Linked DNA regions of Macaca fascicularis. The protein of the gene in region 1 purifies or fractionates together with the protein of each later gene. This does not show direct contact. Links are inferred from orthologs where the notes say so. Each region holds a gene or a part of one and is shown in the gene's direction. Other genes may lie near its edges. The genes, in order: PPP2CA, PPP4R1, INTS12, TIPRL, INTS9, CCDC6 and CCT3.

The links.
Region 2: the proteins of PPP2CA (region 1) and PPP4R1 purify together in Homo sapiens (affinity purification with mass spectrometry; 3 studies listed by BioGRID and IntAct, with this or other methods). This does not show direct contact. The link is inferred for Macaca fascicularis from reciprocal best matches to the Homo sapiens genes PPP2CA and PPP4R1.
Region 3: the proteins of PPP2CA (region 1) and INTS12 purify together in Homo sapiens (affinity purification with mass spectrometry; 4 studies listed by BioGRID and IntAct, with this or other methods). This does not show direct contact. The link is inferred for Macaca fascicularis from reciprocal best matches to the Homo sapiens genes PPP2CA and INTS12.
Region 4: the proteins of PPP2CA (region 1) and TIPRL purify together in Homo sapiens (co-immunoprecipitation; 4 studies listed by BioGRID and IntAct, with this or other methods). This does not show direct contact. The link is inferred for Macaca fascicularis from reciprocal best matches to the Homo sapiens genes PPP2CA and TIPRL.
Region 5: the proteins of PPP2CA (region 1) and INTS9 purify together in Homo sapiens (affinity purification with mass spectrometry; 3 studies listed by BioGRID and IntAct, with this or other methods). This does not show direct contact. The link is inferred for Macaca fascicularis from reciprocal best matches to the Homo sapiens genes PPP2CA and INTS9.
Region 6: the proteins of PPP2CA (region 1) and CCDC6 purify together in Homo sapiens (affinity purification with mass spectrometry; 4 studies listed by BioGRID and IntAct, with this or other methods). This does not show direct contact. The link is inferred for Macaca fascicularis from reciprocal best matches to the Homo sapiens genes PPP2CA and CCDC6.
Region 7: the proteins of PPP2CA (region 1) and CCT3 purify together in Homo sapiens (affinity purification with mass spectrometry; 4 studies listed by BioGRID and IntAct, with this or other methods). This does not show direct contact. The link is inferred for Macaca fascicularis from reciprocal best matches to the Homo sapiens genes PPP2CA and CCT3.

The regions. Positions count from the first base shown.
Region 1 is NC_088380.1:140,718,939-140,722,344, reverse strand, and holds the end of PPP2CA (serine/threonine-protein phosphatase 2A catalytic subunit alpha isoform), read left to right. Parts: intron 1-239; coding exon 240-358; intron 359-1,918; coding exon 1,919-1,991; 3' UTR 1,992-2,668; downstream 2,669-3,406. UniProt on the Homo sapiens protein: Catalytic subunit of protein phosphatase 2A (PP2A), a serine/threonine phosphatase involved in the regulation of a wide variety of enzymes, signal transduction pathways, and cellular events.
Region 2 is NC_088392.1:77,938,732-77,942,708, reverse strand, and holds part of PPP4R1 (serine/threonine-protein phosphatase 4 regulatory subunit 1), read left to right. Parts: intron 1-428; coding exon 429-535; intron 536-3,977. UniProt on the Homo sapiens protein: Regulatory subunit of serine/threonine-protein phosphatase 4. May play a role in regulation of cell division in renal glomeruli. The PPP4C-PPP4R1 PP4 complex may play a role in dephosphorylation and regulation of HDAC3.
Region 3 is NC_088379.1:111,409,247-111,413,223, reverse strand, and holds part of INTS12 (integrator complex subunit 12), read left to right. Parts: intron 1-1,734; coding exon 1,735-1,922; intron 1,923-3,084; coding exon 3,085-3,244; intron 3,245-3,977. UniProt on the Homo sapiens protein: Component of the integrator complex, a multiprotein complex that terminates RNA polymerase II (Pol II) transcription in the promoter-proximal region of genes.
Region 4 is NC_088375.1:25,846,066-25,850,042, forward strand, and holds part of TIPRL (TIP41-like protein), read left to right. Parts: intron 1-2,511; coding exon 2,512-2,691; intron 2,692-3,395; coding exon 3,396-3,495; intron 3,496-3,977. UniProt on the Homo sapiens protein: May be a allosteric regulator of serine/threonine-protein phosphatase 2A (PP2A). Isoform 1 inhibits catalytic activity of the PP2A(D) core complex in vitro. The PP2A(C):TIPRL complex does not show phosphatase activity.
Region 5 is NC_088382.1:32,072,351-32,076,929, reverse strand, and holds the start of INTS9 (integrator complex subunit 9), read left to right. Parts: upstream 1-1,632; 5' UTR 1,633-1,728; coding exon 1,729-1,737; intron 1,738-4,579. UniProt on the Homo sapiens protein: Component of the integrator complex, a multiprotein complex that terminates RNA polymerase II (Pol II) transcription in the promoter-proximal region of genes.
Region 6 is NC_088383.1:86,717,123-86,721,761, forward strand, and holds the start of CCDC6 (coiled-coil domain-containing protein 6), read left to right. Parts: upstream 1-1,431; 5' UTR 1,432-1,501; coding exon 1,502-1,804; intron 1,805-4,639.
Region 7 is NC_088375.1:104,736,613-104,741,302, forward strand, and holds the start of CCT3 (T-complex protein 1 subunit gamma), read left to right. Parts: upstream 1-1,639; 5' UTR 1,640-1,757; coding exon 1,758-1,788; intron 1,789-4,345; coding exon 4,346-4,407; intron 4,408-4,690. Other genes in the region: TSACC (TSSK6-activating co-chaperone protein), read right to left, coding at 168-201. UniProt on the Homo sapiens protein: Component of the chaperonin-containing T-complex (TRiC), a molecular chaperone complex that assists the folding of actin, tubulin and other proteins upon ATP hydrolysis.

The DNA.
Region 1 (3,406 bases):
TTTTTCTTTTTAGTACTAAAAGCAAATTTTGTAATTAGGGGGAAAACAAATACGTATGTATCTTACAGGTTGTATGAAGTACAGCAAATTATTAAGTCAACCAGAAAAAAAGTATTAACATTTCTTAAGCCCCTTTGGCAGGGGTGGGAATGAGTAGAGATTTTTTTCTCTCTTGAGTGAAGTAGCATTTAGTTGAATTGAGGGAGTAAAGTAAGATTTTTGCCTCCTTTTCCTTGTAGGGATATAACTGGTGCCATGACCGAAATGTAGTAACAATTTTCAGTGCTCCAAACTATTGTTATCGTTGTGGTAACCAAGCTGCAATCATGGAACTTGACGATACTCTAAAATACTCTTTGTAAGTATTTCTACTTGAACATTTTATTGCATTACTGAATATGTAGGTTTTTGGTTTGTTTATTTATTTTGAGAGAGAGGGTGTCACTATATTGCCCAGTCTTACCTCAAACTCCTAGGCTGAAGTGATCCTTTCACCTTGGCCTCCCAGAGTGTTGGCGTTACAAGTATAAGATACAGTGCCGGCCAGGCACGGTGGCTCAGGCCTGGAATCCCAGCACTTTGGGAGGCCGAGGTGGGCAGATCACGAGGTCAGGAGATTGAGACCATCCTGGCTAACATGGTGAAACCCCGTCTCTGCTAAAAATACAAAAAATTAGCCAGGCGTGGTGGCGGGTGCCTGTAGTCCCAGCTACTCAGGAGGCTGAGGCGGGAGAATGGTGTGAACTTGCAGTGAGCCGAAATCGCACAACTGCACTCCAGCCTGGGCGACAGAGTGAGAGTCTGTCTCAAAAAAAAAAAAGATACAGTGCCCAGCCTGAATACATAGTTAAATGTGAGGTTTAAGAGTTTAAGGGGGCCAGGCACGGTGGCTCACGCCTGTAATCCTAGCACTTTGGGAGGCTCAGGTGGGTGGATCACCTGAGGTCAGGAATTCAAGATAAGCCTGACCAACATGGTGAAACCCCGTCTCTACTAAAAATACAAAAATTAGCCCAACGTGGTGGCACATGCCTGTAATCCTAGCTACTTGGGAGGCTGAGGCAGGAGAATCTCTTGAACCTGGGAGGCAGAGGTTGCAGTGAGCCAAGATACCGCAACTGTACTCCAGCCTGGGCAACAGAGCGAGACTTCATCTCAAAAAAGAGTTTATTAAGGGATTATACTATGTTAGATTCCAACTTTTATTTTTAAGTTTTTGAATGGACCTACATTGAAACACACCCACAGGAACTTATTATATATAGATCCTAGTATAAATTACTAGGTTTTTCACTTTTAAAACCATGTTTTGTGTTTTTTTGTTGTTTGTTTTTTCTTTTTCTTCCCCCCCCCCCCCCCCCCCCCCCCCCCCCCCGAGACGGAGTCTTGCTCTGTCCTCCAGGCTGGAGTGCAATGGCGCGATCTCAGCTCACTGCAAGCTCCGCCTCCCGAGTTCACGCCATTCTCCTGCCTCAGCTTCCCGAGTGGCTGGGACTACAGGTGCCCGCCACTGTGCCCGGCTAATTTTTTTGTATTTTTTTAGTAGAGATGGGGTTTCACCGTGTTAGCCAGGATGGTCTCGATCTCCTGACCTCATTATCCTCCCGCCTCGTCTTCCCAAAGTGCTGGGATTATAGGCGTGAGCCACCACGCCCCGCCAACCATGTTTTGTTTTGTTTGAAATTTCAGTCAAGGTAAAAACCATATTTTTATAAAAGCATAGTCTCTGTGGCTGAATTTGCCTTGACTCTTTCAAGGGGAGTACGGTTAACAGACCATTATCATTAGGGTTCTGTTACATTAAGACAAGCTGAAATTGGATAGGAAGTGTAAAGTTTGAAAGACTCATGTTCTTGATTTTGATTGTCAGTACATGGAGGTCTTGGAACATAAACCATGAATCTGTCTTGTTTTTCAGCTTGCAGTTTGACCCAGCACCTCGTAGAGGCGAGCCCCATGTTACTCGTCGCACCCCAGACTACTTCCTGTAATGAAATTTTAAACTTGTACAGTATTGCCATGAACCATATATCGACCTAATGGAAATGGGAAGAGCAACAGTAACTCCAAAGTGTCAGAAAATAGTTAACATTCAAAAAACTTGTTTTCACATGGACCAAAAGATGTGCCATATAAAAATACAAAGCCTCTTGTCATCAACAGCCGTGACCACTTTAGAATGAACCAGTTCATTGCATGCTGAAGCGACATTGTTGGTCAAGAAACCAGTTTCTGGCATAGCGCTATTTGTAGTTACTTTTGCTTTCTCTGAGAGACTGCAGATAATAAGATGTAAACATTAACACCTCGTGAATACAATTTAACTTCCATTTAGCTATAGCTTTACTCAGCATGACTGTAGATAAGGATAGCAGCAAACAATCATTGGAGCTTAATGAACATTTTTAAAAATAAGTACCAAGGCCTCCCTTCTACTTGTGAGTTTTGAAATCGTTCTTTTTATTTTCAGGGATACCGTTTAATTTAATTATATGATTTGTCTGCACTCAGTTTATTCCCTACTCAAATCTCAGCCCCATGTTGTTCTTTGTTATTGTCAGAACCTGGTGAGTTGTTTTGAACAGAACTGTTTTTTTCTCCCTTCCTGTAAGATGATGTGACTGCACAAGAGCACTGCAGTGTTTTTCATAATAAACTTGTGAACTAAGAACTGAGAAGGTCAAATTTTAATTGTATCAATGGGCAAGACTGGTGCTGTTTATTAAAAAAGTTAAATCAATTGAGTAAATTTTAGAATTTGTAGACTTGTAGATAAAATAAAAATCAAGGGCACTACATAACCTCTGGTAACTCCTTGACATTCTTCAGATTAACTTCAGGATTTATTTGTATTTCACATATTACAGTTTGTCACATTGTTGGTGTGCACTTTGTGGGTTCTTCCTGCATATTAATTTGTTTGTAAGAAAGGAAATCTGTGCTGCTTCAGTAAGACTTAATTGTAAAACCATATAACTTGAGATTTAAGTCTTTGGGTTTTGTTTTAATAAAACAGCATGTTTTCAGGTAGAGCTTAACAAACTAAATGATGTGTTTACTTAGTGCAGTTTCTGGTTATGAATATTATATTGCTATGTATATTATATGGACTCTTTAAAATGATTGACAGATTGGCAAATTCTTAAATCTTTGTACATTGTTGAGTCATATGTTCTTAGAGTTAAATTTGTCTCCGATAAGAAAGTGTTAAAGCATTAGCCTGTGTCAAGTTCTTTGAGTGATACTAGTGAAACCAAATAGAAAACTATTGTTGGATCATGGTTTAGTCTTATGTACGTTCACCTGAAGACAAAAATGGTACTTAAAGTGGCAGTGTTCAACATTTGAGTTTTTCCACCCTTTTATCCTCCAAATAGGATTAGATGTTAAAAAACAGTTCTTCTGT
Region 2 (3,977 bases), on another chromosome or scaffold:
TGAGCCACCGCGCCCGGCCTGAAAAAAATTTCTTTAAAAATGTGTAGATTTTGTCTTTTAAAATTCTAGATACCGGCCAGGCGCAGTGACTCATGCCTGTAATCCCAGCACTTTGGGAGGCCAAGGCAGGTGGATTGCTTGAGCACGGGAGTTTGAGAGCAGCCTGGGCAACATGGTGAAACCCCATCTCTACTAAAGATATTTAAAAATTAGCCAGGTGTGGTGGTGCATGCCTGTAGTCTCAGCTACTCAGGAGGCTGAGGTGGGAGGATTACCTGAGCCAGGGAAGTCAGTGCTGCAGTTAGCCGTGGTCGCACCATTACACTCCAGCCTGGGCAACAGGAATGAGGCCCTGTCTCAAAAAAATAAAATTCTGGATATTAGCTGTTGATGCCATTGAACATACGTAATCTTGTTTTTCTGTGTAGACAAATGGTGGCCCGGAGTTTGCTGGATACCTTGAGGGAAGTCTGCGATGATGAAAGAGATTGTATCGCTGTTTTGGAAAGAATTAGCAGATTGGCCGATGATTCAGGTATATGTTCATGTGGAGAAAGTGAATTTACTCTGTTCTAGAAAGGTTTCTTTGACCAAATTTGTGTTTCTAAAAACTAATGAAAAAATTAATGTGATATGAGATGGCTTTAAAATCTTTCCTAAGTAATTATCAAAGCCATCCATGACAACAAAAGTAAAATGTGTTACTGAGACCTGGACATTTTACAGTAGTCTCATTTAGTTTAATTTTAGAAATTTCTCATCAAAACAAGTCTAAAAATATTGTTTTGCATCATGTATATTAATATTTTAGGATTAATAATATCTAGAATAATTTTGAATACATTAAAAGAGATGGAGAAGGCTATAAATTGTTTTTTTTTTTTTTTTTTTTTTGAGACGGAGTCTCGCTGTGTCGCCCAGGCTGGAGTGCAGTGGCCGCATCTCAGCTCACTGCAAGCTCTGCCTCCCGGGTTTTTACGCCATTCTCCTGCCTCAGCCTCCCGAGTAGCTGGGACTACAGGCGCCCGCCACCTCGCCCGGCTAGTTTTTTGTATTTTTTAGTAGAGACGGGGTTTCACCGTGTTAGCCAGGATGGTCTCGAACTCCTGACCTCGTGATCTGCCCGTCTCGGCCTCCCAAAGTGCTGGGATTACAGGCTTGAGCCACCGCGCCCGGCCTATAAATTGTTTTAGGCAAATATAGAAAGCTTGCTTTCTGTGTGGTTTCTCACTTTCAAAAAATGTTGGTTAACCATTTGTAAAACTACACCTGGTTTATCTCCAAAGTGAAAATGAGAAAGTCTGCTTAAGAAAGAGGTAAACTTGATGTGAAGCTTAGAAAATGGTGATGTTAGAGTTTTTACAAATATGTCTTTTGTTGTAGTAAAATATACTTAACACATGAAACTATTTTAAGGTAATATTAAGCATATTTTTATACTTGATTTTAGAAACAATCCAAAAATAAATTCTAAAACTTTTTTCCTTAAATCTGTTATCTTTATTAAAGTATATTTTCCATCTCTGACAGACTTTTTGGCATCTCAGCAAGCCCCATCTTTTAATTTTTAGACAAACTCATCTTTTGATGAACAGTTCATTTTAATGGGAATATGTTAAATGTTTACATAAGCCTTAAATGTTCCTAATATTCTTACAGGGTGGGTACAACATTTATAGGCTTAACTGAGCAATAGTCTACCTTTGTGTACATAATTGCTTATGTATATGCTTGCTCTAAAATGGTTTTAGGAGGGGTCTCATCAAGTATAATTTTTACTTATTTTTTAAATTTGATTTAAGTTAACTAACAATTTAATGTAAATTCATGGCACTGTTAAGCCTATTATGGTTTTATTCCTTAGTAAAGACAGATATTTTAAGGATGGATTTGTGTTTTCCTTTATCTGTTTACCAGCTCTAGAGTTTTTTTTGGTAAGTGTGTGGGGGTGTGTGTGTGTATTTTAAAATATGTTCTCACATTGGTAAGTTCATAGTAAATGTCTCTATTGACATAATTCTATTCATTCAGTATACATCAAACAGTACCTACTCTATACCAGGTTCTAGATTAAATGCTAGAGCAGTCATTAAGGTGAACAAGGATTTCTGTCGTCAAATTAACAGTTTAGTGAATGCAGCCAACATATAAACAGTACATTACAGTGGGAAGGATCGGGGCAGGCTTCAGAAAGTGAGTGACGTTTACGTTGGATTTGATAGAATCATGAGGTATAGAGAGGGGAAAGGGCGCACCCAGGAGAGGAAAAGACAGAGGAGTTCAAGAAGGTGGCCCGTTTGGTCAACAATGAGGCCAACCTGACAATGAGACTAACCTGCTGAGTTTCCAGGTTAGAAAAATTAGGCTGTTAAATAAGGTAGGTGAGGGCTAGATTGTAAAGGTTTATAACAAACCATGCTGATGACTTTACCTGTTTTGTGATTTAGAACAGTGTGGTGTAGCAGTATGAACTGATATGGTGAAAAAGATGGGTGACAAGAAGACTAATTGGAAGACTATACCAATTAATTGGGTGTTTTTGTTTTTGAGACAGTCTTGCTCTGTCGCCCAAGCTAGAGCAGAGTGGCGTGATCTCCACTCACTGCAACCACCCCTGCCTCCCAGGTTCAAGCAATTCTCCTGCCTCAGCCTCCCGAGTAACTGGGATTACAGGCATGCACCACTACACCCAGTTAATTTTTGTATTTTTAGTAGAGAAGGGGTTTCACCATGTTGGCCAGGATGGTCTGGAACTTCTCTAACCTCAAGTAATCCACCTGCCTCAACCTCCCAAAGTGCTGAGATTACAGGCATGAGCCACCGTGACCAGCCAGTTAATTGTTATAAGGATGAATTGTTGGATAGAAATTGAAGTGCTGGGAGGGATTCCAAGGCTAACCTCCGGATAGAGTGAGGAAGAGAGAGGATTTCACCCTGAGGTTTCTAATTTGTAGGACTGGGCTTATTGTGATATCTGGGTAAGATAAAGACTATTGAATAATATAGCTCTGAAGTGAATGAAATATGTATCCTTTGTTTAGACAAATAAGCAGCTGAGAACCTTTCAGTCTTCTGCCTTACCTTTCATTAGCTTTTATCTTGATTTTTTTATTCCCCAAAATTTACCAACTGCTTTTATTATTTTCCCCTGGAATGGATGGATGTGTAGTGGTTTCTCATTGTGGTTGTAATTTACATTTCCTCAATAGCCAGTGAAGTTCATACCTGGTTATATACTTACTGGCTATTTGGGTATCCTTTTTTTTTTTTTTTTTTTGAGATGGAGTCTCACTCTGTCATCCAGGCTGGAATGCGGTGGCACGACCTGGACTCACTACAACCTCCTCCTCCTGGGTTCAAGTGATTCTTCTGCCTCAGCTTCTCGAGTGGCTGGGATTATAGGCATGCACTACCACGCCCACCTAATTTTTGTATTTTTAGTAGAGATGGGATTTCTCCATGTTGGCCAGGCTGGTCTTGAATTTCTGACCTCACGTGATCCACCCAACTCAGCCTCCCAAAGTGCCGGGATTACAGACATGAGCCACCATGCCCGGCTTCTTTTTTGAAATGTCTAAGTCTCTTCCCCCTTTAAAAAATTGGCAGTCGTTTTCTTACAGATTTACAGGAATTCATTCTGCATATGAGCCCTATGTTGTTGATGTGTATTGAAGATATCTTTTTCACTCTGTGCCTTGTGTTTGCGCTCATAGTGATGCTTCTTAAAGAAGAGAAGTGCTTTTCCTTTATGGGTTGTGCTGCTTTTGTCTTCTTAGAGATTTTCTCCAATCTCAAAGTCATAATAAATATCTTTTCCTGTATTCTCTAACACAGAGAAGCCTTATTGTTTTTTGCCTTGACATTCAGATCTGTATTCCACCTGGAATTTGTTCATGTGCATGATATGAAGTGGAGGACAAGTTTCTTTTTTTTTTTTTTTTTTTTAATATGAGGAGCCAGTTGACACAATACCCTTT
Region 3 (3,977 bases), on another chromosome or scaffold:
TCAGAGGTCCTAGATGGTACAGTTGTTAAGAAGAAAAGATAGATACACTTTGGGAGGCCAAGGCAAGTAGATTGCTTGAGCTCAGGAGTTCAAGATCAGCCTGAGCAACATGGTGAAATCCCATCTCTACAAAAAATACAAAAATCATCTGGGCATGGTGGCAATTACCTCTAGTCCCAACTATTTGTGGGCGGGTAGGGGGTGGAAGAATTGCTTGAGTCCAGAAGGCAAAGATTGCAGTGAGCGGAGATCATGCCACTGCACTCCAGCCTGGGTGACAGAGTGAGGCGCTGTCTCAAGTAAAAAAGCAAGCAAGCAAGAAAGAAAAGATAGGAGAGTATAGATGTAAATGACTAAACATAAACTTTATAGAATGGTATGCACCTGAGCAGGGCCACGGATGATTCTTGGATTGTCTATTTTTAGATGATTTCTACATATAGTAATTAAGATTTTAGTTAGAAAAAAATACATTTGAACGATATCTTCAGTAACCTTTGCCCTCAAGATGGAGTATATTATCCTGTATGTTTTCATACTTTTGCTAAATAGTGGCTATTCATAAACTGCGTTAGATTATTTCTCTGCTTTTAGATCTACATAAATGAGACTGGGCGTGGTGGCTCATGCCTGTAATCCCAGCACTTTGGGAGTTTGAGGCAGGAGGATCACTTGAGGTCAGCAGGTCGGGAGTTGGCCAGCCTGGCCAACATGGCAAAACACCATCTCTACTTAAAATACAAAAATTAGCCAGGTGTAGTGGCGCACACCTGTAGTTCCAGCAGATCGGGAGACTGAGACATGAGAATCACTTGAACCCAGGAGGCGGAGGTTACAGTGAGCAGTTTGTGCCCCTGCACTCCAGCCTGGGCAACACAACAAGACTCTGTCTCAAAAAAAAAAAAAAAAAAAAAATTATGTAAATGATATCATACGGTGTGTGTGTATATCCTTTGGTAACTTTTTCTCCACTCAACTATGTGCTTTTGAAATGTATCTATGTTGATGCATGTAGATCTAGATTTCTTTTAACTACTACATAATACTTACTCTGTGAATTAACCAGCTTATCATTCCCCTACTGATGCACAGTTAGATATTTCTCCTTTGTTTCTATTACAATGGAGTTGAAGTGAGCTACTTTATACAAATGTCATGTTAATAGTTTCTATAGGATGTATACCTATAAGTGAATGTAATAGGATATGACATCTTCAACATTGCTAGGCATTGCCAAATTGTTATCAAAAGTAGATGTACTAAATCTACACTGTCATCAACAAAGTACAAGAATTCCAAATTCCATGTCTTATCAGACTTTTTGATTTTTGCCAAATCTAATGGGTATATTGATAATATTTATATCTTAAAGAAGGGAATCCGAATTTGCTTTGAAGCAAATATGTGTTAAGTCTGTACAGTAGATACTAGTCTAAGTAAATCCATCGAACTTCCAGAAATCTTTAATAGATAGAAGAGTACAAAGAGAAATACAAATCTTTGTTAAACTGTTCTGATTTATTTATTTCTGTCTTGCTGGTTTCATTTAATGTACCGATAAATTCGTTATAATTCTTCTACAGATCGTTAATGTGCACATATGTCCCAAACTATGTGAATATATCTGTAAAATGGACTTGATCATTGCCTATTGTCCTTTTTATTCATCTTTCAGTGACTTAAAGTTTATTCTACCACATCACTTTATCATTTTCTGATGCCTGCTTTTTATAGATGAAATCAGACATCACTGAAGGAGTTGATATTCCAAAGAAACCTAGATTGGAGAAACCAGAAACACAGTCCTCTCCCATTACTGTCCAAACTAGCAAGGATTTAGCTATGGCTGACCTTTCCAGTTTTGAGGAGACCAGTGCTGATGATTTTGCCATGGAGATGGGATTGGCCTGCGTTGTTTGTAGGTAAGTTGTCCCTTGCCACAGATTATTTTGTTACTTTATGAAGAACACAGGACCCCTTTCCACTCCTCAACCCCCCAAATCAGAACAATTGTGCATTTTCTATTTTGTTTTTACGATTTGAAACTGGGGTGGAGATAAGTAGATGTCTTATGAACTGCCCATGTAACAATTTAACATATTGAAAATTGTCAAATATTATGTCTTTACCAACTATGGCTTTTAAATCCGTTATGTTGTAACATTTTCTGCATTTTTGGGTTCCAGAGGGAAAGTGATTATTATATTATGATATATATGCCTATGATAATCTAAGGCTATGGTGACTGCCTTTTGTGCTGTTGGAATTTATACTTTTTTATACACATATGGCTTCATTCTATTAATCTGATCAGACATTCATTGAGCACCCTATGTGTGTGCAGTAACGTGCTAAGGACTGTGAATAGTTAGGTCCACTTCTCACCTTTAGGTAACTCATATTAATGAAGAACAACAACAACATATAGCTAACTAATATAAGGGAATTTAATAGAGATACAAAATGTTATGAGACTGTTGGAAGACTAATCAGAGTCTACTACCTTCTGAGAGAAAGACAAAAATTATAATGAGAAATGACAAGGAGAAAATAGCCAAATTTAATCATGGCATTCCATGTATTTATTAATGGTTGACCATAAGCTTTAAAAGCTTATGCTTTTGTGCATGCTATGTGTTGGAGTTTGTTATTTTGATCTTTGGGTTTCTGGGATTTTTTTTCTTTTTAATATACCAAACTTTACTAGAACAACCCTGAAATAACATTTTTTTTTTTTTTTTTTTGAGACAGAGTCTTACTCTGTCACCAAGGCTGGAGTGCAGTGGTGTGATCTTAGCTCACTGCAGCTTCCATCTCCGGGGTTTAAACCATTCTCCTGCCTCAGCCTCCCGAGTAGTGGGGATTATAGGTGTGCACCACCATGCACATCTAATTTTTGTGTTTTTAGTAGAGGCAGGATTTCGCCATGTCTGCCAGGCTGGTCTTGAACTCCTGACCTCAAATGATCCGCCTGCCTTGGCCTCCCAAGGTACTGGGATTACAGGCATGAGCCAGTACACCTGAAATAACTTTAAATTATTGCATTAAAAAAGTAGTGTAATGTTTAATGGTGTGTTTTCTTAGGCAAATGATGGTGGCATCTGGCAATCAATTAGTAGAATGTCAGGAGTGCCATAATCTCTACCACCGAGATTGCCATAAACCCCAGGTGACAGACAAGGAAGCGAATGACCCTCGCCTGGTGTGGTACTGTGCCCGATGTACCAGACAAATGAAAAGAATGGTAGGAATCGTATTTTTAATTTTAAACAGTCTGTCAATGTTTCTGTTGGTATGTGCTTTCAAAACAAAGATTTGAATATTTAAGATATTGAAAAAATAAATAATATAAGTTGATTATTTAAATGTTTATATGTATAGTATATATATGTGATTAATATTTCTATGGCTAAAAACCAGACCACGTTATGTGCATTTTTCTCTGTTTAGTTTTATCTACTTCTAATATAGATAAACAAACAAGATTGGTGACATACAAATTATGAATATTCCTTACTAGTCTGTCAATGTATTTATAAACATTTTAATATACCATGCAGCACTGAGAATTGGTGAGATACAAAGCGCCACTCTTTGTTGAGGTCTGGTAAGGAAATATAGAAAATTCCTGAGTGAGCTTAAACCACCAAATGAATAAGATGTGTACAGAGGCGATATTTATATGTGCATATCCGTCTTTCCAGCTGCATTTCTCTATTGCTTAGTCTTTCCTTCTCATTATCCTCAAGTGACCATTACCTCATTCTTCCAACATACTTTCTCTTTTTACTGTTCACTAACATACCTGCCTTTAATATCATAGTGAAATACATTTTCATTTGTTATATTGGATAGTTTTCTAACTTTTATTCACTTATAAAATAGATAAATGATAAAAGAATTTCATAATTTTCTTTTAAAGAAAACAAGAAATTGCCATAATGTCTTATTCGCTACCTCTCCCTCACACTTCCATC
Region 4 (3,977 bases), on another chromosome or scaffold:
TCACCTGAGGTCGGGAGTTCAAGACCTGCCTGGGCAACATGGTGTAACCCTGCCTCTACTAGAAATACAAAAAAAATTATCTGGGAGTGGTGGTGCAGGCCTGTACTCCCAGCTACTCCAGAGGCTGAGGCAGGAGAATCACTTGAACTTGGGAAGTGGATGTTGCAGTGAGCTGAGATCATGCCACTGCACTCCAGCTTGGATGATAGAGTGAGACTCTGTCCCCTCCACTGAAAAAAAAAAAAAAGCTGCCTTTTTTATATGACAAAAGGAAGACTTACCCTCACCAATCCTAAATTTTTCTGTGATGCATTACCATAGATTGTAAAAACCGCTAAGGTGCTAAATAAATTGATTGGGTAAATTATTGGATTAAAGAAACTCCCTTTAATGAATATTTAAGGCACCTTAAAACCAGAGGAGCTTCCTGTCTTCTCTCCTTATAACTGGTTATACCTGTTTTTAAGAGGGAAACTTGATGTTAGAAATAGGGCATTTTCAGTCCTGGCACTGTGGCTCACGCCTGTAATCCCAACATTTTGGGAGGCCAAGGCAGGTGGATCACCTGAGGTCAGGAGTTTGAGACCAGTCTGGCCAACATGATGAAACCCTGTCTCTACTAAAAATACAAAAATTAGCCGGGCGTGGTGACACGTGCCTGTAATCCCAGCTACTAGAGGGACTGAGACAGGAGGATTACTTGAATCTGGGAGGCAGAGGTTGCAGTGAGCCGAGATCATGCCATTGCACTCCAGCCTGGGCAAAAGAGCAAGACTCCATCTCAAAAAAAAAGAAAAAAGAAATAGGGCATTTTGGCCTGTGTTTAAGAAACTCTATATTTAGAACATTGAAGGACTGTAAATTAGTAACAGTGATTCTTTTACATATATGAGTGGAATATTTTATAGGACTGCCAGATTTTTCCAGATGTATTGGGTAGAACCCACAGACTCACGTATTATTTCACATTTGGTATGCATTATTCAAGTTAAAACTTATTTTATGGAATCTTATGTAATATATATTCCAATTACAGTTTATTGTATCTAATCTTTTAAGTATTTAATATTTTCTATCTCCTAATAACAAAGAATAAATTTTACTTAAAATTATGATGAAAGGTAACATTGTTAGGTATCATCCTGAAGACCTGTACCTCAAAAAGTTAGATCACTGATATGTGCACACAGAAATACACATATAGATGTAAAAAATATACAATGTGTATACAGCACTTTGGGAGGCTGTGGCGGGCGGATCACCTGAGGTCAGGAGTTCAAGATTATCCAAAATAGTCTCTACTAAAAATACAAAACTTAGCTGAGCATGGTGGCAGATGCCTGTAATCCCAGCTACGAGGGAGGCTGAGGCAAGAGAATCACTTGAACCTGGGAGGCGGAGGTTGCAGTGAGCCGAGATCTTGCCACTGCACTCCAACCTGGGGTGACAGAGTAAGACCTTGTCTCAAAAACAAACAAACAAAAAACAGTGTTAAGCTTTGTTTAAAGACTTGAAGTCAGTAGAAAGGAATGCTTAAGAAAAGGGGGCCTACTGTCTGTCTTGTGATGCTATACCAGTCAGGTTGGAAAGTAAGGCACATTATACCATTGCACATAAAAAACCATTTAATGAGATTTTATGGTTTGTCGGGCATGACTTAATCCTTGCCTTGCGTGGCCATAGGTCTTGTTTATCATACGCATTTTGATCATACTATTTTATCATAAGCATTTTTCCATATTATTATATTCTCTCTTTAAACATTTGTAATGGTTCCGTAATATTTCATCATATGGATATACTTTGGTTTCCATAATCATTTATTGCTTTATAATGAAACATTCAGAGTATTTCTTTTTCACGATTATAAGTAAAGCCATTGTAAGTATTAATGTGTATAGTTTTTTTCTGTACTTGGAATTGTTCTTTAGTACAGATATCCTAAAACTGATACTTTGGGTCAAAGTGTGTAGATTTTATTAAATTCCTGTTATTTTTTGCTTGATTGTTGCACCAGGGTGAAATGTAAATTGACACAATCCTTCTGAAAGTCTGTATAGGCAAGTGCTGGGTTCCCTCATCAGTATCAGGTGCTTTTGCTTTTTTCATCACCACTTTTTGAAACTTACAACAATTGAAAATTTTAGTGGAAAAATTATTTTCCTACAAGGGACAGTATCTTTATTTGCTTTGCTATCTTCTCTTCATACCTTCATGATATATATTATAGTAATATCTGTGTGCTATATATTATAGTAATATAATAAGCTATTATATCTGTGTTTGTATATTATCTTATTTAGCCCACTACCTAGTACAGTGCCATAAGATATGATAACGAAAGAATGGATGATGAAAGCATTTTGTAGACCTTGCAAATATATCATATTGATTAAATCATACGCTGTGTAACTCATTCAGCAATGTAGGAAGAATTCTCTGGGTTGGAAAAGAAACAAAAATGCCAACAGCGATATAAAATTATCTCACATGACTTTTGGTTATGTATAGATTAGCCGATGAATTACATATGCCATCTCTCCCTGAAATGATGTTTGGAGACAACGTTTTAAGAATCCAGCATGGCTCTGGCTTTGGAATTGAGTTCAATGCTACAGATGCATTAAGATGTGTAAACAACTACCAAGGAATGCTTAAAGTGGCCTGTGCTGAAGAGTGGCAAGAAAGCAGGTGAGAATCTGGTCAATTAGGTTAAACAAAAAATATAATTAGGTTAAACAAAAGAGAAAGACTTGAAAAAATATTCAGTAATGATACGTGTGTGTCGTTAGAATGAAGAACTGGTATTATTAAACATGAGAGTTGTATCATTCTAGAATTCATTTTTCTGAGACATAAAAATGGAAGTTAATTACCCCACTACTTGAATTCTTATTAAAGTGAATTACAACTGAGCTGAGCTATGTACTTTTTCAATTCTTCAGCATTCCTTATTGAAGAGGCAGTAGGCTATATTTAATGTTCCTGTTTTTCAAGAAAAATGTTTACTTATGATATGCTTAATAAATATCCTATTTGAGAAGCATTGAAATTAAGACAGCATGTTTTTCTTTGATAGTCAAATCAGCAATTATTTACTTTGTGCCTAATATGTACTAAGTACCTTAGATGATACAAAGAAGTATAAACCTTTAAACCGTGTCCTCAGGCAGTGTACAGACTAATTGAAAAGACTACATCAGTACATGACAAGTTAAAGAACGATAAATGTAGAAAAACTGTAAGAAAAACCTTGTACTGGTGAATTATAACAAGTGTATATATTTAATAGGATATTTTATGTTATTGTAGAATATAATTGGATGTGATATATAAATACAGATAATCTCTATTCTGCATCACTGAATCTGATCCTTCTCATTTTGGTATTTGAGGACGGAGGGTGAACACTCCAAAGAGGTTATTAAACCATACGATTGGACCTATACAACAGATTATAAGGGAACCTTACTTGGAGAATCTCTTAAGTTAAAGGTAAATCTTACTTTTTTCTTTTATGAGTCATTAATTGTCTTGGACAGTCTGAGCATTAGAACTTTCTAGTAACGGGTTATTTTTCGCAACTACTTTTATTGTCCTTGTTTTCTGTTGTGGCATCCCTCAGAACGTAATGTGAGGGGGTTTTGCTTGTTGACTTATCAGCAGAAAATAAAAGATGGCCTTAATGGAAAAATTTATTTTTAAAACTGTAGTTGGTGGCAGTGGCAGACTGCCATATTGTTATCATTATCACTATCAAGAAACACTAAAATGGGTTTCGGGCCTTGGTAATGTATTACGTGATTTAGACAGAACCTGCTAGCTAGTAGCTTACAAGTTTATAGATGAACAAATATATGGGCAAAAAGAACTTCTGGTTAGACAAAGTAGGTTTATGCCCTGCCTGCCCTGAATATGAACCTGAAATGACTTTAGGTAAGTTACTTGAGTCTCAGTTTTATCAATAAATTGGGTAA
Region 5 (4,579 bases), on another chromosome or scaffold:
AGCAGACATTCCGTCTCTTTAGTAGACATACACAGACGCGTACACAATCCAGCACTCCCGACCCCCACCCCAGGCCCCCCCGAATCTTCAGCAATTATTCATCTAATTCACACGAAGACAAGATACCTCTACCTACTGTTTCGGGGTGAAGGTGGGTGGAGGACGCCTTTCAAAGTAGCCCCAATAGTGTAACCAAAACACGGTTCCGGAATAAAATATTAAGAAACACTTTTCCTTTCCCACCTATCTACCGACTTAAGGATGCAAAAAACCCATCTCCACATCACACCATCTCTACAGTTCTCGTGGCTGGAGTTTGGGGTGGAGATTCGTCCAGGGGAGGGGGCGGAGGCGAGTGGCGGAGTGTGAGCGGGCGACGGGACACGAGCGAGTTGCTAAGCCCGGCTGCCCCGCACCACGTCGCCAGCCCAAATGCCCAGCACCAGGACCTCACGCCCGCCCCTCAGCCCAGGCCCAGAGCGAGCGAGGACTCGCGCTGTCTAACTTCTCATCTACAGACACCGCTCCAAAACAAGCAGAGCACACAAGTACACGTCACACAGTTTAAACACACTTCCACACCCCAAACAAACCAACACACCTGCAAATCACCTCACAGTTTCTCGAACTCCACACCAGAGACCCCACCTCCAGGATTCAAACCTTCCGCTCATAGTAGAGGAAACCAGAAGAGTTGGGGGGCAGTCGACGCCTTTCCAGGACCGGCCCCCACGAACTGCCCCACCCCACAGCCCGCGTCTGGATCACCCACTCGGAAGCCCCCTGCTTCCTCCCTCCTCTCAATCCGGCCGCTAACGAGACCCATCCCCAGCGTCCGCTCACTTCCTCCCCAAAACCCCTCCAAAAAAAATTGTTTTAAATGAAGAGAAAGAAGTGAGGAAAGAGACTTGAGGTTGTCCGGCTTCAAAACCGCTCGACTCACCTCAGAATCCTCGCTGAGTTCTCTCCGCCCGGCAGAGCCCCCTCCCCAACGTCCCAGTACGAAGGGCTGAGGTAGGGAGGAGGGAAAACGGGAGGGGGAGGGGTGTCTTCCGCGTGGGGTGCCCGTCGGGAGGGGACTGGGGAGGGGTTGAGGCCGACGCAGGAAGAGGAGAAGGGGGAGGGGAGGCCCCTATCTCCCAGTCTCCCCCTGAAAAACCTCCCTTGTCTCAATCACATCAGACTGACTGTCTTTGTCTGGCTGACAACCGCCATATTGATATCAACAGCCCCGCTCCCACCTGCTGCCGCCCGGCGTCCCTGGGAGTTGTAGTTCCTGCCTCCCCCGAGTAAAAGCGCGGAGCCCGGCGCCTAGAGGCCCAAGAGAACTACAACTCCCGGCAAGCCCCGTGCCCATCCGCCTTCCCTTTGGGAGGAGGGGAAAGGGGACCCGGAGCCGTCGGGACTACACATCCCAGAACACCATGGGCTCCAGGCGCGTAATGGGGACATGATATCATGCTGGGGTGGAGAGGGCGGCGGGGATGAATTTGAGCTGACGGAAGGAGGCGTCCGCAGAGGAAACGGAGGAAAAGGAAAGGCGACCACAGTTCCCATGGTGCCTGGAGGGGAGACTACATTTCCTATGATTCCCCTGGAAGGGACGTGAGAATGAAAGACTGCAAGTCCCGCGATGCTCTGGGCTGGCAGGTGGCGGAGATTGCACCGGAAGACGCTTCCTGCGTTTGAGGAGTTCAGTGACTGCTATTGAACCACCAAAAGTCCATTATGAAACTGGTGAGTCTTCGCTCCTAGGTCAGAGGGCAAAGTTGATGCTATATCCTTTTGGACCTCTTTTTTTCCTACTTTGGGCAGGGAATCGTCACACAGGAGGGGTAGCAATTAAGTAGCTGGAAAGTGGAGTGGGCTAAAGAAAGCTGCTTTTTGTTGTTAAGAAGGCTTGAATTCCCTCTCCCGCCCCCCTATCCCTCCCAGGAGGTCTTCTTTCACTCGTTGGTGGGTCTTTTTGTTCAGACAAGACGTTGACTCGGTCACAGTCCTTCCCCTATGAACTCTGTGGGCTCTGTTAACCAGGTTTGGACGTCCTGGCTCCCACGTTAGGGTTATAATAGGCTGTTAACAACCCCTTTCCATTCGACTGGCGCTTGAGTAGCCTGTCTCCCTACTGTTGTTGAAACTTTGGCTAGATTTAAGCAGACAGTAAAAAAAACATTCGGCAGAACGTAATCACTTATTAAATATCCTGTTGTATAGACTCCTCACTGCCCTTGGTATTCAGGACGAGGTCAGAGTGTGGAGAAGTTGAGTCTTAAACCCTAACTGGGATTTAGATGGGGAGAGAAGTGTTATATGGTATTCCATTCTAAGACTGTAGGGACTGCATGAGCCAAGTCTGGATGAAGTGTGCCGGTATACCTGAAGTCTTAACATCACACAACTCAAGCACCTGGCTCATAGAGACTTCTCAAACCTTTGATTTGAGCCATTTGACTCATTGTGCATACAGGTCTGACTAGTTTATTCCAACTCGATTCAATTAGTAATAACATAGTGTAGAAAGGCAGGTGTGAAACTCTCTTTATCAACCTTTTAAAATCCATATTCGTGCAGCCAAGTTACTGTCAAGCTTTACTTGAGGCAGGAGAATCGCTTGAACCCGGGAGGCGGAGGTTGCAGTAAGCAAAAAAAAAAAAAAAAAAAAAAAAAAGTTTATTTTACCATTTATATAATTATCTGAATATGCTTTTCCAAACCACACAACCCACCTACCCTCATCTTGATAATCATTGTGTTACAGGCATATACTCTGCAAAGCCAGCTGTTTTCTGCGTAGTCAAAGTGTTAAAAGTGGATTCAATTCTGAAATTGTCTCCATGTAAAGATGTTTATGTAAGAGGAAGGATGCGGGTCACTAAACCTTGAGAATAGCAATTTACTCCTGGGTCAGTGTGCTATACATTTAAGAATGCAGAATTAAAAGTCATAGCAGTTGCCCTACAGAAGCGTGCAACCTAAGAAGAAGATGAAAAGTAAACCAAAGTTATTATTTATTTATTTAAAGACAGGCTCTGGCTCTGTGGGGCCCAGACTGGAGTGCAGTGGCGCGATCTCAGCTCACTGCAACCTCCACCTTTTGGGCTTAAGCGATCCTCTCGTCTCGGTCTCCACATGTAGCTGGCAATACAGGCACGCACCACCACACCCTGCTGATTTTTTTGTAGAGATGGGATTTCAACATGTTGCCCAGGCTGTCTCAAACTCCTAGGTTCAAGGAATCTGCCCACCTCGGCCTCCCAAAGTGCTGGGATTACAGGCATGAGCCACCGTGCCTGGTCCGAAATTATAATTCACTGTGTTCAAGGTAAAATAGAGGCGTGTTCAGGGTTTTGGGAACTGAGAGAAGATTGGGGAGGTCAGGGACAGCTTCCTGGAAAGGTGACTGACTCTTGAGCTGATAAGAAGGATAAGTAAGCCAGGACCTTCCATGAAAGAAGTCAGCTTATAGGAGCAGAAGACCTTGGTAACTTATTGGCTAAAGCACAGACCCTGTGTTCTCAATAAAGAACAAATTATACTTGGTGTGTTCAGTTTAAGAAGGCAGGGAAGTGTGAAATAGTTTTTCCCATAACAACTCATTAGTGAGGGTATCAAAAAGCCAGAGTTGGCCGGGCGCGGTGGCTCAAGCCTGTAATCCCAGCACTTTGGGAGGCCGAGACGGGCGGATCACGAGGTCAGGAGATCGAGACCATCCTGGCTAACACGGTGAAACCCCGTCTCTACTAAAAAGATACAAAAAATTAGCCGGGCGAGGTGGCGGGCACCTGTAGTCCCAGCTACTCGGGAGGCTGAGGCAGGAGAATGGCGTGAACCCGGGAGGCGGAGCTTGCAGTGAGCTGAGATCCGGCCACTGCACTCCAGCCTGGGCGACAGAGCCAGACTCCGTCTCAAAAAAAAAAAAAAAAAAAAAAAAAAAAGCCAGAGTTTACTTTACGTATACTTTAGTTTGCTCATAAAATCCTGCTTAATTTATTTAGAAATAGGAAACCAGGGAATAGGAAAAAGTAAAAAAGTGGAAAATTATTTTTTCCATTAAGAACCAAAGATGCCTCAGAGGAAAAGGAAGTCTTCTACTGATACTCATACTCTCTCTTTACTTTGCAACTATGTATTACATACTAAAACTTATTTGGTAGTTGATAGATACATATAATTGAGAATTTCCATCAACATACCAAAAGCATTGTTGCTCAGTAAGTTAGGTTGATGCGTCATGCCTCCCAAATGGTGGTAATAAGTCCTCCCATGGCCTAAAAGTTTTAATTTTGTGTACTGCTTCAGGAATATGTGATAGGCTGTGTTTTAAGTTTATAATTATGAAACAAAAATACATAATTTTGTTTAACATTTTCTCATTTTTGAGATTGACTTTCCAGAGTACCCTTCCCACATACAATCTATGACCACCTCTTATTGATTCTACTTCCTAAATGAAACTTTCTTAAATAGATTCTGTTCCTCTCCAGTCCAACTAGAATACTGTCTTTGTAGTGGGCTCTTTTTGCTTGGAATTCAACAAGACCCCTTATCTGGTCTCCCTGTATTCAGTCTTAACCCTGTC
Region 6 (4,639 bases), on another chromosome or scaffold:
AGATAACGAGGGAGTGGGAATAAGAATCATTCTTCCTTCTTCCTAACGCTTTAGAAATCTTTCAGAAAGTTCAACGCAACAGAAAACAAAATTACACTTTTTTTTCTATTTTCTGTTTCCATGTGTTTGTTCTAATGTTAACTAAGCATGGGTAATAAAACTAGTCTGGTCAGTTTCACTTTCCAATTTTTATACATAAGTGAAAGCTGTTTTGTGTCAACAGGGCAAAGTGTTTAGAATCATCTCACCTGCTGGGCCAATTGCCTGCAAGCCTTTGGGAAGAGGGAGGGGGAATAAAAGTTTTTGATTTTTAATTTCTTAAACTGCAAAGCTAGAACCCTGAATTAGACCGCGTTGTAGTAATTACTGTTTTATTTTTACATGCTAAAGTTTTCTAGGAGTGAGCAACAGGATAGCAAAGAAGGGTGATGTTGTACTCCCACTCAATCATTACTATTTCTATAGCATAATGTTATGTCCGCGGTTACTTTGGAAAATTGGCACTTAAAGAGGTGTTTCAACCTTCTGCTAAAAGTGTTTCGCTTTCCTTTTTTTTTTCTTCATTAGATAAATGTTACTGCCTTAATCCTACTGCGTGACATGTGCTGGAAATGTTTGCAAAATGCAAAGAGAAAAAGAAAAAAAACAGTTGCACCTTGTTTAAACAATTGAGCGCAGTGTGGTTTATAAGGTTATTAAAGGGGGTGTGTGTCTCTCCCGCAAATTCTTTCTTAACAAGGTTAACTTGTGGCTGCTGTTGTTTCATCCTCCTCGGCCTCTTGTAGAGGAACTTTGTTCTCTTAGGTTTATCCAAGCCTTCCCAGTCAAAAACACCTTGCTTTTGATAATATAAAACTGCGTGTATGTGTGAAACAGATAGAGGGAGACACGCGCACACACAGTCGGCGGAAGATGGGGCCACAACACGGTAGAGGATGGGCGCCGGAGCCCGGCTGACCTTTCCACGTGTCCTCGGCACCTGCGAGGCTGGTGGGGCATCAGGTTTCTTTTTTCTTGGGGCGGGCGCGAGCCCGGAAGAGGCTGGGCGGCCGCGGGCTTAGACCAGGGGGCTCATAGGCCCTCCCTTGGAACACGTGTGGCTGGCGAGCTGGTGGTGCGGGGGCAGTACTTGGCTTTCCCGCACCCGCAGTGCCTGCGCGTTCCCAGCCCGCCCGTGGTCACCAGGCGGCGGCGGGCGGGTCCCGGAGCTTTCAGCCAGCTCTGCTGGGCGGCCTAGTGAGCGCGCCCGGCCCGGCTGGAGCAAGCCCCAGTGCAATACTGCCCAAGCCCGGGCGGGGTCTCTGTTCTCTGGCAGAGGAGGTCCCTTGGCAGCGGGAAGCGCCCTCTCTTTCTCTCGCCGCCGCTCCGAGTCTGCGCCCTGGTGCCAGGCGCTCAGCTCGGCGCTCCCCTGTGCTCGCCCGGCGCCCACTCATTCGCAGCCCGGCCTTCGCCGCCGCCGCCTCCCTGCTGCTCCTCCTCCTTTCCCCAGCCCGCCGCGGCCATGGCGGACAGCGCCAGCGAGAGCGACACGGACGGGGCGGGGGGCAACAGCAGCAGCTCGGCCGCCATGCAGTCGTCCTGCTCGTCGACCTCGGGCGGCGGCGGTGGCGGCGGGGGAGGCGGCGGCGGTGGGAAGTCGGGGGGCATTGTCATCTCGCCGTTCCGCCTGGAGGAGCTCACCAACCGCCTGGCCTCGCTGCAGCAAGAGAACAAGGTGCTGAAGATAGAGCTGGAGACCTACAAACTGAAGTGCAAGGCACTGCAGGAGGAGAACCGCGACCTGCGCAAAGCCAGCGTGACCATCGTGAGTGCCCCCCGGGGGCGCGCCGCAGCGCCAACCTCCGCCCGGCCCGGGAGGGGCTGCACCCGCATCCAGGCAACCCCCAGTCTTCCCCAGATTCCCGGGGACCCTCTGAGAGCACACTCCCTGCGGGGACCTGCTGGCCTCTGGGAGGAGAGGGAGGTGTCCTTTCGGGGCCACGCGGGTCTGTCCTCCTCGCGGGGCTGAGGACCCTTGCGCGGTGCGGGGGAAGGCTACTGTGGCAACCATTCATGGTCCCTTTTGGCCTCTGGAGAAGAGGCCCCTCCGGGGCTGGGCTGGAGGCTGGCGGCGTGGCTGGGGGGCGGGGTAGGACTTTTTTCAGCCCTAGCATGCTTGAGGGGTGCGTCCAGAATCTGGGGAACCCCAGTCCGGGGGAGAGAGCGGAAGCTGGGATATCTTACTGGGGCCTGGCTCGGAGTGTGGGGGTTCGCAGCTGGGCTGGGTACTAAGCTGGCATCTGGACGGCACTAGCTGGATCGCCCGGGTACGGGGCGGGAGAGAGTGGCCGGGAATCCGGGAAGTGGAGTTTTCTGGCCAGGATCGAGAGGGAAGGGCGGGTACCAAGCTAATGCTCCCACCTCCATTGGAAGCTCTTTGCCTTGGAGTGGGAGGGTGGACGGTTTACTGCGAGGAGAGTGCAGCATTCAGGCCTGGACAGGGCTGGGGCCGAAACCAGGGGAAGGGTAGCCACTGTGACTCCCTGGCTGAGCCAGAGGTACGTGTGTTCGCTCCATTCGTAGAGTGATTAGGAGCATCTTGCTTCTGAGTCTAGATACTGGAGAACAGGCCATCAGTTCTGTTTCTACCTGGTCCCTGGAGGCTGCCCAGAAAAGGGTAAGCTTGGGTCTGCAGGTCTCTCCTGGTGTGGCAAGCGTTTAGAAAGGCCCGTATAGCAGTGATGAGGCGAAACGTAACTAGAAAAAGTACACTGTGTACTCTCACCTATCATCCCTGCCAGCTCACCACATCATTAACATGCAGGATCCCCACACAGACAACTGTATTCAAATCAGAAGTTTCCCAGCCAGGAGGAGAGAAGAAAATGTCAAGAAATCAAGGGGGATAAATTGCCATAGCTGCTGCAAAATAGCGGATTAGGCTGAACTTTGAAATAAAGAAAAAGGGTTGAATTTGGGGATGGAGGGTCCCATCTTGGAAATGGGGCAAGTTTAGGATGCCCCTTGCGCCGGGAAATAGCCTACGGTGGAGGAGCCTGTGTATATATGTGCGCGAGTGTGTATACCCCCAATGCTGGCTCATACATGAGAACTAGATGGCATTCTTAATTTGTGTAGAAAGCAAATTGCAGGTTAAGTGTGATCAGTAGCCTAAATAGCAGTTGATTGTAAAAAGAAACTTTTCATGTTCAAATCCAATTTTGGAGAATGGAATTGGAGCAACTTGCATGTGAGATGGTAAAGTTCTTGAACTGCCCTTTTGGTAGGAAGGGGGGTGGGGGCGGGGAATTTGCAGAGGCAGCCACTTCCAAGCCTCCTATGCAGCTTTCTTGGCTGACAGAGATGTCTTTGCTGAGTGGGGGTTAAGAAGAGAGGGAAGTTGGTGGAGGCAGTTTATTTAAGATTTGAGTTAGTAAATGAGAGGGTTAGTGTCTTGGAGGTTGTGAACCATGGAAAGTAGTAAAACTTGCACGAAGCGAAATAGCCTTTTGCATGCAGTAGGCAATTCAGGCTGGTTTTGTTGGGGAGGGAGGAATGAGGGATGCAGAGACTATCAAAGGGTTATCTGTTTGACACTTCGACCGTACTATAAGTAGGTTTGTAAACTGTACTTACACATGTTGGCTTTGCAGGAACAAATGTGTTCATTCCCTGTGTTTCAAACCAGAGGCCTTCTGAGTACTTAGCTCGAAAAGTGTATAAGGTGGTGGCTTTTTTTCTTAGCACTTACCCTTAACTAAAACTGACATCCAGCCGAATATACTTTGTGAAATGTCGTGCGGTGTTAATGAGTAAAGTTAAAATTGTTTTAGATGACACTGCACAAGTACCAGAAGCCTCTCAGTTCTTCTTTAATCTCTGACTAATATATTCAGGGAGACAAATAAAAAAGTGCTTGTGGTTCGCCTGGTTTCCTAATACTTGGCAGTTGTTACTGAGGAGCTGAATGATAAATGCAGGAAATAGATTCCTTCAAGATTTTGCAGGTGTTAACTGACCTAGGATCCAGATTCTGTAGGGGTACGTTTGACCCCTCAGGTATGTAATGTGGGAGGAGAAATGTATGTGACTCCATGAAATTGGTCTGTGAATGCAGAGAGTCCATTGAACTACACTTTAGTAGTTTATATCAAGGTTAAGCTGTACAATCCCTGACATTGCTCACTTAAGCATTACCCTTGCTAGTGGCAGTCTAGGAAGTTTCTGATAATTAAGTGAAGACCTTGTTAGATTTTTCACTGTGAAAACACTGTTAGAATTTTCACTGTTAATTTGAAGGGAAGATGGTACCATAATTCTGGTAATTGCCTTTCTGGCTCTTTTTAGTTTCAATTGTGATATTAATGTTCATGTTCTTAGGCACTAAAGGTGATTGTGGCCTTCTTTTTCCTTGAGCATGTTCAGGAAGGCACATTGCCTTTTTGTCACTCCCTGGGGAAGAGACAGTCTCCCCCTGCCGCCACTTGTTTTTTTAATAGACTTTACTTTTTAGAGCACTTTTATCTTCAGAGTAACACTGAACATAAAGTACAGAAATTTCCCACATAACCCTTGCCTTCACACAGGCACAACCTCCTCCACCATCAGCGTCTTACATCATCGTGGTCCATTGTTAGTCAGTGAACCTACATTGATACAT
Region 7 (4,690 bases), on another chromosome or scaffold:
ATACAAAGGAAGAATAATAAATTCATTTAACAAATAATTACTGAGCATCTACTATTTAACAGATCCAGTTCTAGGTTCTGGGAATACAGCAATGCTCCCAATTTAATGGGGAATGCAAAGGAGGTCTTGCTTTTTAAGGGAGGGGAAGCAGGGCCTCCAACACACACCTTTTCTGTTAGGATGACTAGTGTGCTGCTCCATCTGAACACCAACAGGTGTGGTGCCTGGGAAAGAATCATAGCATCAGATGATCAACAATCCATGCTAGTATTTTCACTATGACAATTTCCTAAGTTGTCTCCAGCAGATCTCAGGCTGTTCCAGTCTGCGGAGGAAAAAGTAGGAAACTCTATTTCATGGCCAAACGCGTGACTGTTCTCCTTCACTAGTTTGGAAAACAGTTATTTCTATACCAGTGCTTCATTTTTTTTTTCTGGACAAAATAGTAATTTAACCAAAGCCAAACCTTAAACCTCTCTGATGAACGGGCAATTACTTTCCGTGTTCTCACCATGTTTTAATTTCCACGGTATGATGAGTCCTTCTCCTATCCCGAATGGTAATTTTAAAACTCTGGCTCCCCATCATCTCTAACTAAGACTGAGGACAGCGGGAGAGGGATGGATGTGGGGAAATAAAATCTCAAAGCACCACAGGGAATACTTTTTTTTTTTTTTTTGAGATGAAGTCTCGCTCTGTCGCCAGGCTGAAGTGCAGTGGCGCGATCTAAGCTCACTGCAACCTCCGTCTCCAGGGTTCAAGCGATTCTCCTGCCTCAGCCCCCCGAGTAGCTGGGATTATAGGCGCGCGCCACCACTCCCGGCTAATTTTTGTATTTTTATTAGAGACGGGGTTTCACCATATCGGCCACGCTGGTCTCGAACTCCTGACCTCAGGTGATCCACCCGCCTCGGCCTTCCAAAGTGCTGGGATTACAGGCGTGAGCCACAGCGCCCGGCGGAAATACTTGGGAAAATATTTTAGATAGGGTAACTTAAGGAAACGCAAGCCATCACCCTCCGGTACTGCTCACAGCCTCACTGAAAGCATTTCCTAAGAAGGGAAAAGTCCACACACAGCCATTAGTCCAGATGCGATAAACCACAACTCCCAGTGTGCCCGGAAAAAGGCTGCCCAGTCCCGCACTGTAAGACTACAACTCCCACTTCACCCAGGGCCAAGCCGGCCAGGTCTTCCCCCATCTGCTGGCCGGAGTCCCGCCTCTCTAGTCCACCTATTGCTAAGGCTAGAACAAAAGAGTGGAAACTGTCAAGCCTTTCTTAGCCTTCACGGTCGGATAGGAGCCGAGTCGCAATACACAGTTTAACGACCTCACCTGCGGTGTTAACCGAAAGCCGCAACCCCAGCACCCAACCCTAGAGTTGACACACATGCGTAGTGGCGTGCCGGCCAACTGCCAGAGCCTTGGCGCCTGCGCCGACGTTCGCGCTGCACGCGGCCGGGAGCGGCCACCCTATTGCGCAAGCGCCTGTGCCCTCCCAGTGCCTTCATCGTGCTCTCTCTGCCTAACTTGTCTGGTCGTTCTTGCGTAGAGGGCGGGACTCAGGATGTCAATTGGTCTGTTTTTGTGCCGATCAATGAGATAGGTGCGGTGATTGGTGACTACCTTGAGAGTAGCGAGTTAAGGTGTAAGCCCTGAGGAGGCAGCGTTTTCTGGGTTTCCGTCTGGTTCTCTCTCTCCAGAAGATTCTGCCGGTTCGCCCAGCTCTGGGTACCCGGCTCTGCATCGCGCCGCCATGATGGGCCATCGTCCCGTACTCGTGCTCAGTGAGTTCTGGGGATACCAGGAAAGGGACTCCCTTTTCACCCTTCTGCGTCCATGGTTTTCTGTTGCCTCAGCTCCGTCCCGCCCTGACCCGGCCCCCGAGCCTTCCAGTCATCATCTTCATTTTGGAAGCCCGGTGTCCCGCTTTCCTTTCTTCCCTTAACCTATTCGCTTCTCTTCACAAACTCAAACTGACCTTTTTCTCGCCGAGCCTCTTTTCTTGACGTGTGCTCGTCTTGGGAAGCTCTTCCCACTCCGCGTTCTGTCCCTCAGTCCCCACGCTTCCCCCGCCGCTGCACCCTTTCTAGCCTGATTGTCGCTATATAGTTGCATGAATAATGTTTTTTGTTTTTTCAGTTAGGTCTAGCTTTATATCCTTGGCCCATCCCTTAGTAGCGGTCATTTAAATGTTTCAATCTGTGTTACGGAGTTAATAGTATTTCCTAGTAGAATTGTGAGAATTAAATGAGATAAGTGGGCAGACTGCTTGAAGAGGGTCTGGTGAATAGGTAATATCCTTGGTCACTTTACGTTACATTTATTTTCAGTAACAGTCATTTGAACAGCAACCCCTGTTCTAGAAGTAACCGTACTTGCTTCACTGATCATAGATGTAATCGTTCCCTCCGTGTCCCCGGCGTTGTAATCTTTCCCACTCACCAGTTGGGTTTTCCCAGATTTCTCGACTGGTCATCTTTTCCCTTTGGAAGATCCCTTATTTTTTTTCTTTCTATTTTTTGAGACAGAGTCTCGCGGTGTCACCCAGGCTGGGGTGCAGTGGCGCGATCTCTGTTCACTGCATCCTCTGCCTCCCAGGTTCAAGCATTTCTCCTGCCTCAGCCTCCCGAGTAAGCTGCGAGTACAGGCGCGCGCCACCTCGCCAGACTAATTTTTGTGTTTTTGGTAGAACTGGAGTTTCACCATGTGGGCCAGGCTGGTCTCCAACTCCTGAGCTCAGGTGATCCGCCCACCTCAGCCTCCCAAAGTGCTGGGATTACAGACGTGAGCCACCGCGCCTGGTCCCTTATTTCTTCTAATGAGCACCACCTCCATTGTCTTCCTTTGATATGTTTCCATTCTGTGTGTAACTTCTGTACCTCATCTGCAGAGCCTGACTAGCCATCTCTCCTCCCTTACCGTCTTCTGTATACTGAATGCCTTTCAGAGTTTTTATTCATTATCTCTGTACCTGGGAAATAACTTTTAAGGAAAAAAATAAAATAAAACTTAACGCTATTTTGGGGAAAAAAAACCAGGTTGGGCTCAGTGGCTCACGCCTGTAATCCCAGCACTTTGGGAGGCCGAGGCGGGCGGATCACAGGGTCAGGAGATTGAGACCATCTTGGCTAACTCAGTGAAACCCCGTCTCTACTAAAAAATATAAAAAATTAGCCGGGCGTGGTGGCGGGCGCCTGTAGTCCCAGCTACTCAGGAGGCTGAGGCAGGAGAATGGCGTGAACCCGGGAGGCGGAGCTTGCAGTGAACCGAGATCCCGCCACTGCACTCCAGCCTGGGCGACAGAGCGAGACTCCATCTCAAAAACAAACAAACAAAAAACCTTGTTTCTGATGGATTGTAGGTCCATGCGGGTTTTTGGTTACAGCTCCCTGAGATAGATGTAAATCCTAAGCATTGTGGGTGTTTTGGTTTGATGGGACTGGATTGAAAGATTTACAGACTTAAATTGTAAGGGAATGTAATTTAGAGAGAGGAAGGAAATAAACATTATGTTGGTTTGGTTGTAACCACTGGCTTGTCTCCACTGGGATGACCTGGGGGTGAGTGGTGTATTTGCAAAGCTCCTTTCAGATCTGCATTAATCTCTGGCATTAGTTGACTGTGACCAATTAGGCTCCCAGTTAAAGTATGTAGTCAGTTCTTAGTGGTGGTAAATGGGTTACTGAGGCCTTCTTATTACATCCAGTTATGAGGTGACTATATAATTTATCTTGCATACTGTTGAGTGTGTTCTAAACAGTGTACTGTGGGGGCACTATCACTAATTATGTTGAACCTGTTAGAGTATGATCCCCCTATCCAAGCAGAAAATGTGAATCCCCAAACTCTTTCCCTGCTTACATAAAGCAATGAATGGTCATTTCTTAGGGTCACCAGCCCTTTAAGATAAATAGCTGTGGATCCTTTTTCTGGGGGAAAAAAAAAAATTGCAGTCTCTCTCATTTTCTCACATAATCTCAGGGAGTTCACTATCCCATTAAGGCCCATTCATGGATCTCAGGTTATGAATCCCTGCTGTAAATATATGAATATTTGGTTAGAAGATAAGTATTAACCAAGATTGCAAAGTTATTTCTTAATACATCAAGGGTTGAAATACAGAAGGAAGTAAACAGCCATAGGGACATATGTTTACAGTTTTTTGAGATATGGTTGACATATAATAAACTGCACTTATTTAAAGTGTAGAGTTTGATAAGCTTTGCTCTGTGGATACACCGTGAAACCTGCATTCTTATTTTTCAAAGACTGGGAAATAAATAGCTTGGGTACGATGGGGCAGTCCTGGGCTGTTAACTGTTGTGTTTTTATCTATTTTAGGCCAGAACACAAAGCGTGAATCTGGAAGAAAAGTTCAATCTGGAAACATCAATGCTGCCAAGGTCACAAATCTTTTAAGTGTTTATGGTAGTTTGTCTCCAGCTATCTTCCCTGGTATTTGGTCATAGCCGTGTGTCCTGTGCATCTAGACTTTATAGAGTGAGCAAATAGGGGAAAAGTTGACCTCTTCTTTCAGAACATTTTCCTGATGATGGTGGGGGAAAGGAAGCCCTCCCCTTCCGAGTTAGGACTGATAATCTTCTCATATTGTGCATTATTCTGTTGCTGTATATTGTTTTATAGTATTCTATTTGTGTTTGTCTCCCATACTAAACTGAGTTACTT